Regions from separate parts of the Mus musculus genome. Here region 2 is reported to be linked to region 1. Evidence: microRNA targets listed by miRTarBase, many of them from high-throughput screens and not tested one by one. Region 1 holds a microRNA gene; the other region holds the end of a gene's coding sequence.
What was found. The annotated mature microRNA mmu-miR-215-5p reads AUGACCUAUGAUUUGACAGAC and lies in region 1 at 1,742-1,762, shown strand. An mRNA with a match to its seed (bases 2 to 7 or 8) in the 3' UTR can be bound and repressed. Matches are read on the target gene's strand: a 7mer-m8 pairs with bases 2 to 8, a 7mer-A1 pairs with bases 2 to 7 and ends in A, and an 8mer does both.

Region 2: miRTarBase lists Lyrm9 as a target of mmu-miR-215-5p. The part of its 3' UTR that is shown has no 7-base or 8-base seed match.

Annotation. Positions count from the first base shown.
Region 1 is chr1:185,311,869-185,316,020 of GRCm38, forward strand. Mir215 (microRNA 215) reads left to right here and starts at 1,713; the gene lies at 1,713-1,824. It overlaps Iars2 (isoleucine-tRNA synthetase 2, mitochondrial), which reads right to left. Exons shown (of 23, transcript NM_198653.3): 12 at 4,026-4,152. Mir194-1 (microRNA 194-1) reads left to right here and starts at 1,451; the gene lies at 1,451-1,517.
Region 2 is chr11:78,838,704-78,842,703 of GRCm38, reverse strand. It overlaps Lyrm9 (LYR motif containing 9), which reads right to left. Exons shown (of 4, transcript NM_001076681.2): 4 at 1-3,581. The coding sequence ends at 3,564. Among named protein-coding and RNA genes, the nearest start is that of Lyrm9, 14 kb to the right of the region's middle.

The sequences.
Region 1 (4,152 bases):
TTATTTTATTAACAATATTCTATACTTCAGCACACAGTTGACTTATGACCTAAAGACCAGTATAAATTACTGTTGATAAAAGTGGGTGAAACCACTTATCACTCTGTAGTCTGTTTCCATTTTAATGCTGTATTTCACAGAGCAATAAGTCAGACCATACTAGAACTTTGTACTCAGAGGCCTTATCTGTCACGCATTCCGTGTTCCTGCTTCGGTTTCCATCAGGGAAAACCCAGGCAGTGGGGCAGCTCTGACGGCAGCCAATCACCCGGGCTCTGCTATCAGCAGCATGTGCTATTTAGCCGAGAAGCAGGAAGCACTCAGGACTTCCAGGTAAGGAGCCGCTGCTGTCCTCTTGGTCCTCTGTTCTCTCTTTATAAGCAAAAGGCACAGGACAGGATCTCTGCTGGAAGTGACCGTGGAAAGAACGAGGTAAGAGGCTAAGAGTTCCTGTCTGTTGTCTAAATGTGACAAAGAACACGGTGGAGCTTCAGAAGGAAGAGCCTGTTCCCACCAAGTCCAATGCGCAGGCTGTAGAGGCAGCAGGCAACGATTTAGGATGCTTTCTTTACTTACTGAACATAAAGTCCACAGGTTTCCAGAGGCTGGCTCTAAGCTACCTTAGCGCGTAAGTCAACAGTGCTGGTGACAACATACGTCTAAAATAAGGAAAGAAACGCCATCAACAGCTTCCTGTCTTCTCTAGGTGGCCAATGTTTCTAAATTTTATCCATTTTATGTTAAAAAATACTTGTTGCCAGGAAGTGGTGGTTCACGCCTTTAATCCCAGCACTTGGGAGGCAGAGGTAGGTGGATTTCTGAGTTTGAGACCCGCCTGGTCTACAGAGTGAGTTCCAGGACAGCCAGAGCTATACAGAGAAACCCTGTCTCCGAAAAAAAAAACAAAACAAAACTTGTTTTCATTAACCAGGGACTAGATTGCCACCTAAATTATACGGGGATTATATTACAGATTCAGGAAATGGCCAATGATATTAACATTAAAAGTTCTTGAGGAAAAGAAGCGAACATAAGCTATAAATGAAATTGACATGTCAGAGTTTGAGTCCAGAGTTTAATTCTGTCAGTCTTTAAACTCATTTGGGACACGAGGAATCCCAGGTTCTCTTTGGGAAACAAGTAAGTATATTTAGAGGCAACTCGCAGACTCTCGTCCAGGAAGCAGAAAATCCAGGCGCGGCAGAGCTCACCGGGAATCTCAGCTCCCTGGAAGCTGAGGCAGGACTGCAAGGTACAGGCTAGGTCTTGTCCCAAACTGCCACCACTCCCACCACACACCAGGAAGAGGTAGAGGGCTGGGGCTAGCTCCAGTCTCCTGTAGAGTACTTGCCTGGGATGCACCAGGCTCCAGGTTCAATCCTCAAGACTCCTCCACACCGAGGGAGTAGTGTTTTAAAGCTAAGGACCCATCCGGCAAACTGATGGAGTCATCGGGTGTAACAGCAACTCCATGTGGACTGTGCTCGGATTCCAGTGGAGCTGCTGTTACTTCTGATGGCCTCCAACCGGCTACAAACATGGAAAAGGAAGGGCAGACATTTCTGGGTGGGCTCTTGGTTATCATTTGATTCAGAAAAAGAATGATGATCTTCATTCTGTTTCCTAACTAACAAATACTTAAGAATGTAAATGTTCTCAAGTTCAAGTGCTAGGTCAGCAGAGGACCCAGCCATGGAGACTACGGAGCACGGAGCTCTCAGCATCAACGGTGTACAGGAGAATGACCTATGATTTGACAGACCGTGCAGCTGTGTATGTCTGTCATTCTGTAGGCCAATATTCTGTATGTCACTGCTACTTAAAATCCGGACATCGGCAAACACCCTCTGAGCGCTGTGCAGCAGATCACGGGAGAGTCTGTAGCATGGCAGGAGAATGTGCTGACAAAATAAAATGAGTGCTTCTGTGTACCTGAGAAAGCTGACGTCTATTTCATCTCACTCACCGACTGCTCAATCTGTGTACATTTTCACTTTGAAAACAATTGTCAGTTCCACCAGTCTGCTGAAGTCTGAGGGTGTAGCTCAGTGGTAGAGTGTGTGTTGCTGAAAATTTGGGGTATGTCACAGTGGTCGAGTTTGTGTTGGTGAAGTGTGGGGATACAGCTCAGTGGTGGAATGTGAGTTGCTGAAGTCTGGGATACGACTCAGTGATACAGTGTGTATTCACGTCTGAGAGGGCCTGAGTTCAATCAATCCCCTGCACACAAAACAAATAAAAGCCAAATCTGTTTTACTTCTTAATTTTAATAACATATACTCATCCTACCGCACTCACTTCAAGGCAATGCCCTCAAAGTCTTGCATTCTGATAGCTGAGGACTAAGAAACAACTGGCTTTAAGTTTACTTGTGTGAATTTATCTCAACTATAATCATTTCATTTTCAACAGATGTATTAAGATAGTAGTGAAATATAACTGAAAAAACTCTTGAGTTCTGTAAGAGCCACACAGGGACAATCCTGGAGCAGAGTCAACTCTAAACTATAACAATACTCAAATGGTCTTACAAATCTAGCCTGTACATGCTTAGCCTGAAAAAGACTTCTTAAAATCCCTAGTGTGGTGCTCAAGACTCCTTCAGCCTGTCCCAGCCAGTTATTTTTTTTAATTTATTTATTATTATATATATTTAAGTACACTGTAGCTGTCTTCAGACAAACCAGAAGAGGGCCTCAGATCTCACCACAGATGGTTGTGAGCCATCACATGGTTGCTGGGGTTTGAACTCAGAACCTTCAGAAGAGCAGTCAGTGCTCTTAACTGCTGAGCCATCTCTCCAGCCCCCGGCCAGTTCTTAGTGACTGCCTTTCTATCCCTCTCACAGCCCTGGAATCCCATGGCTCCTACGCACAGCACACACTGCCACCCTGCCTCCCGCAGAGCACTCTTCCCTGCCCTCAGCTTAGAATACAAGTCAGTGGTCAGGAATGCACAGGGCCTTGATATAATTCCTAGCACAAAATTATTAAAGATAACAACAAACCTATCCTTTGTGTGGTCATACGTGACTTTTTAAAAAAACAACAACTTAAATTAACATTTTTTAAAACTTCTAAAATCCATACACTCAGAATGATACTATTAACACATACAATCACAGCAACAGTGAAAACCAAATCATCTCAACAACGCCAAGGAATCCCCAGGAAGGGCCGCCAGTCTGGGCCTACAGTCTCTCAACCAACAAACAACCCATCACTTATTGCCTCTGCCCCTCGAAACTGCTGACTAGATCCTGAACTAACAAAATCACACTCAGCCAATGTCGCTGATGCTATAGCATAGTTGAGTAAAATCTCATTAACCAAAATAAAGTCAAAGCAGTCTTAGGAAATGAAAACTTACAATGAATTCTTACAGAAATGATTAGCTGTCCCCTTTCCACATCTATCAAAACAGCAACTAGGAGCTGGGTATGGTGGCACAGGCTTTAATCCCAGGGGGTGCACAAGAAAGAGAGAGAGAGAAAGAGAGAGAGAGGAAGGGAGGGAACACAAACAACAAAACCTTAACAGCAACAACGTAGAAACTGCAAACTCCAACAGCATCCTCATGGTCATGGGGTTGAGGGAACATCAGCCCTCTGAATGCCTCACTCGCTCGCTGTCACACTGCGGACTTAGCCTTAACCCCGTGCTCCTGTCTCAGGCTTGCTCACTGCTGGCTCATCCAGCCCAGCAACAGTGTGACTTTCTACTCCCAGCACTGGGGAGGCTGAGGCAGGAGGACTGCCGTGAATGTGAGACTGTGCCAGAGCAGCCAGTGCTCACTGGTGAGACAGACAGAGCTGAGAGCGAGGAGGACATCGGGACAAACCTGTAATCCCGCTGAGGAAGGCAAACAACTTGGACCCAGGCTCTGAGGGCAGCCTGGACTTCATCATGAAAGGCCATCTCAAAGCCCCAGAGCAACGGACAGTAACAACGGATTCTTAATGGTAAACACCGTTCTTCCATGGAAACATAACTCATTTTAAACAATAAAAATCAGAAAAGAATTACCTGTTGATCAAATATTCATCTTTTGTCTTATGATGAAACACAGGAATGGGAACCCCCCAGACTCTCTGCCGGGATATGCACCAGTACGGCCGTCTGTCCAGCATGTCCGTCATGCTGTTCAGTGCGG
Region 2 (4,000 bases), not on the chromosome of region 1:
TCACTGTGTGTGTGCATGATGTGTGAACGCAGGTGTGTGTATGCCACGTGTCTCATGTGGAGGTGAGAGGCATTGGTGTTCTCTTTGCTCCTTAACACAGAATCAGGGGATCAAACTCCAGTCGTCAGGTTTGCACAGCAGTGCCTGTTGGAACCATCTTGCCAGCCCCTAGGAGCTAAATCTTGCAGGAGCCAATTACCTCTCTTGGTTGATAGGGTAGCTTTGTTTACAATGAGGTCACATTACAATCCTTAACTAAAGCCCTCAAAAACACAGGAGATGCACTAGCTGGCTCCCCTACACCCCACTCTCACTAAATTCCTTGACCGATACTCGAACAAAACCAGAGAGAATTCGGTTTCTTATTAATAGAACAAAGAAGGGTGTGCATACGCCTGGATTCTACCTGTTGCACTTAGGTCAATAGCCAGGACCTGTAGCCAATCATATTCAAGGAGCAGAATGGCCTCAGCCTGTGAGATGAGGCACCTATGGAGGTTGGCACTGGATACTGTTCCATCTGTGCCTGGCTTCTGGCACTTGGGAGCCATCACTGGCCGCTATTCCACTGACTTCGGTCCTATGCTAACTTAACATGCTTGGGGAGGGGATCTTCTCCACACTGCCATTTCCATATCAAACTGATGCCACTCCATGGTCTACCCACTGCAGACAGAGCCCGTGCCACCGTTCTTGTCCCCATCCCATCAAGTAGGGCCAGCAACTGCAAAGCAACTCTGAAGTCAGACTTCCACCTGCCACCAGGTCCTTAAGAACAAGAAGGAAAGGCCTGTGAAGACAGCTCAGCACAATGAGTAAGATCTGCATTCAGACCCCTAATGCCCACAGAAAAGCTGGGCTCACTGGCACACACCTGAGGCCCGGGTGATGTGTGTGTGTGTGTGGCAGGAGAGAGCATGAGTTAGACCCCCAGAATCTGCAGGCTAGCAGTCTCATCAATCAGTGACCTGTGGGGAGAGACCCTGCCTCAGAATGCCAGGTACTGAGCAACAGAGGGGACAACCCATCATCAACCCCTGCTCTCCCTGTGCACACACAGGTATACACAGGTACTGGCACATGTGTGTGTGGACACTCACACACATACATGTGGACACTTACACACACACATGACTGGAGAAGACATCTTGGAGAGGGATCAAATATTAAGGACACATTCATGGAGATTCAGTTTTTCTCCCTCACTTTCTTTCTTTCTTTTTTTTTTAAAGTAGCCTTTTTCTTTATGTTTTCCTTTTTCTTTTTGTTTATATATTTTCTGGCCCTGCTTGCTCCGGCCTTATTTATTTTATAAATGTGAGTACACTATTGCTCTCTTCAGATACCAGAAGAGGGCACCAAATCCCATTATAGATGGTTGTGAGCCACCATGTGGTTGCTGGGAATTAAACTCAGGACCTCTGGAAGAGCAGTCAGTGCTCTTAACTGCTCTTCAGCCCTCTCCCTCACTTTCAACAAATGAAATAAGCCCGTCTTCCACCCTTATTTTATCAATAGGGAGACCCCACCAGATACAGGTCAATGTCCTATGTCATAGGGATAACCTGGCCACTGATCTGTATTGTGTTCTCTGAAACCACCCTCATAACAACGGGACCCCACACCCCTCTCACACTCCCTGTGAGTGGCAGCCCCAGCTCCTCAAATCAGTGTTAGTCCTTTCTCCTCAGCCCCATTCTAATGAACAACTCTGCCTAAGGCCAGGCATGGTGGCACACATGGCTACTCTACTGCCACGAACACCACCAGGTAAGGATTGGTCCCTGGGCTCAGATGGACTGGACAGCAGCAGTGGGGATGGAGGGACTGCGGCTTTGCTCTTGCCCTTTGCCTGGCAGTCATCTGGGAGCCCAAACCTGTGGCTCTGCTTGTCTCTGAGGAATGATCCTTCCAGGCAAGTGGGTGTCTGACTTACCCAAGTCCTTAGCGTTGTTTGACACACGTGTCGAGGGAACAATCCTATTCAGAGAACAGCAGTCAGGGAGAAACAATAGAGGGCTAGAGAGATGGCTCAGCGTGAGCGTGAGTGTGTGCGTGAGTGTGAGCGCTAACTGCTTGCAGAAGACTCAGGTTTGGTTCCTAACACTTACATCAGACAGCTCATACTGCCTATAACTTCAGTTCCAGGGAGCCCAATGTCCTCAGGCCTCTGAGGGCACCTGCACACACGTGGTACACACAAATAAAATAAAGATCTTCTTTTTTTAAAGAAGAAATAATAAGAGCCAACAGATGACTCAACAGATAGAGGCATTTGCCACCAAGCCTGATAGCCCGAGTTCAGTCTCTGGGACCCACATAGAGGAAGAAGTGAGCTGCATCCTGCAAACTGTCCTGACGAGCATTTATCAGCAGCAGCAGCAGCAGCAATGTGTTGTGGCACACCTGTATCTAAGTGCTTGGGAGGCAGAGACAGAAAGACTGCTGAAAGTTCAAAAGTTCAAGGCCTGCCAGTGTATACACTGAGATCCTGTCTGAAATAAATCAAAAGAGGAGGAAGAAAACTGTGAGCTTTCACAAGTGGACACACGTGCTTCGGGACTGTCCGCCCCTTCTGCTTAGACAGAGGTCACATCATCCCGCAGAACTGCAAGGGCACAGACAGGCACTAGCTCACCTGAGTGCCCCACGAACATTCAACCCCCAGTGTGGCCTCTCTGCATCTTCTGGCTACTTCGCCCACCTGGGCCACTTCCCCTTGGACCCAATCTCCTCTCCAGAGAGGACACACTGTGGAGCACGGAAGCCTGGACCTGCTGGTGTCTACCCTGCCTACTTGCACCTTATTGCTGGTCTAGTGTAGTAGATGTTTTCCCACTTCAAGGGTCAGGGTTTCTGCCTGGAGCATATTGGGAGGAAGCCGCTGCTTAACAGACTGACGGACACAGCATGGCACAGATAAGAGGGCGTGTGGACTCTGAGAGGAGACAAGACGCACTCACAGCTGAGTCACTGAACAGGACGAGGAGCACAGCGGCTTCCTCGCAAGGTCCCTGTGCAGCAAGGTCCCTGTGCAGCAAGGTCCCTGTGCAGGGAGCTGGTGTGAGCTGGCACGTGACTGCCGCCTCACCCCCCCAGGCTCACTCGGGCACCTGACAGATGGCGTGTATGCCGGCTGGGATTCAGATCCACAGCTGCCTGGTTCTCAAGCCCGTTCGTTTCTTTCTATACAGGTGGTCATCTGAGGGGACATCTCTCATGGGGCTGGGAGATCGGTGACGGGACCTCCAGAATAAATTAACTGCCTTCAGGGCAAAGTAAAAGAACAGATAGGCAAAAATGAGAAACACAGAGAAGAAGCAAAAAAACTCCAAATTCTCCCCAAATTGCATATCGTTTCTGTCTGGAAAAGCAGACATAAAAGACGCTGGAGACATGGCTGCAATGACGAGAACCACCTCACCAAATGTCAGTTACGATTTCTTGCTTTCAGCCAACAAGATCAAAGAATATTCCAGAACTGATGCTGTTCCAAGAGCAGAAGGCTTCTCAGTTCCAAGTGACTCCAGGGCAGCTAAGCGCTCGCCGTAAGCTCCAGACACTCAGTTTTGTTTCCTATACTGCAAGACAGAGAGATGAGAGACGGGTGAGGGAAGCCATGGGGGAGGGCTCTGTTGTGTCACACGGGCCTCTCCACGACTGCAGGGGTTTCTGGGAGGTGGTGAGACTCCATCGGGAGACCCTTCACCTTCACATCGAGTTGGTGCCTAGGCCCTCCTTCTTTAATGAAAAGGCTGGGAGGCCGAGGGCACTGGGACTAAGCATGGAACTCACCAGGGCTCGGCCTTATTCTGAATCTTGTTTGTGGGAGAAAAGTCCCAGGCAGAGGAGACCCTCAGACACCCAGGGTCCCCAGCCAATCATCGAGGCTTTCCTGCCTTTGTTTTGATTTTTCTGTCAGGGATAAGCCCCAGCGGCTTCTGCACTAGGCAAGCAGTCGACCACTGAGGTCAATGCCCTATCAAAATCTGTTTTTACA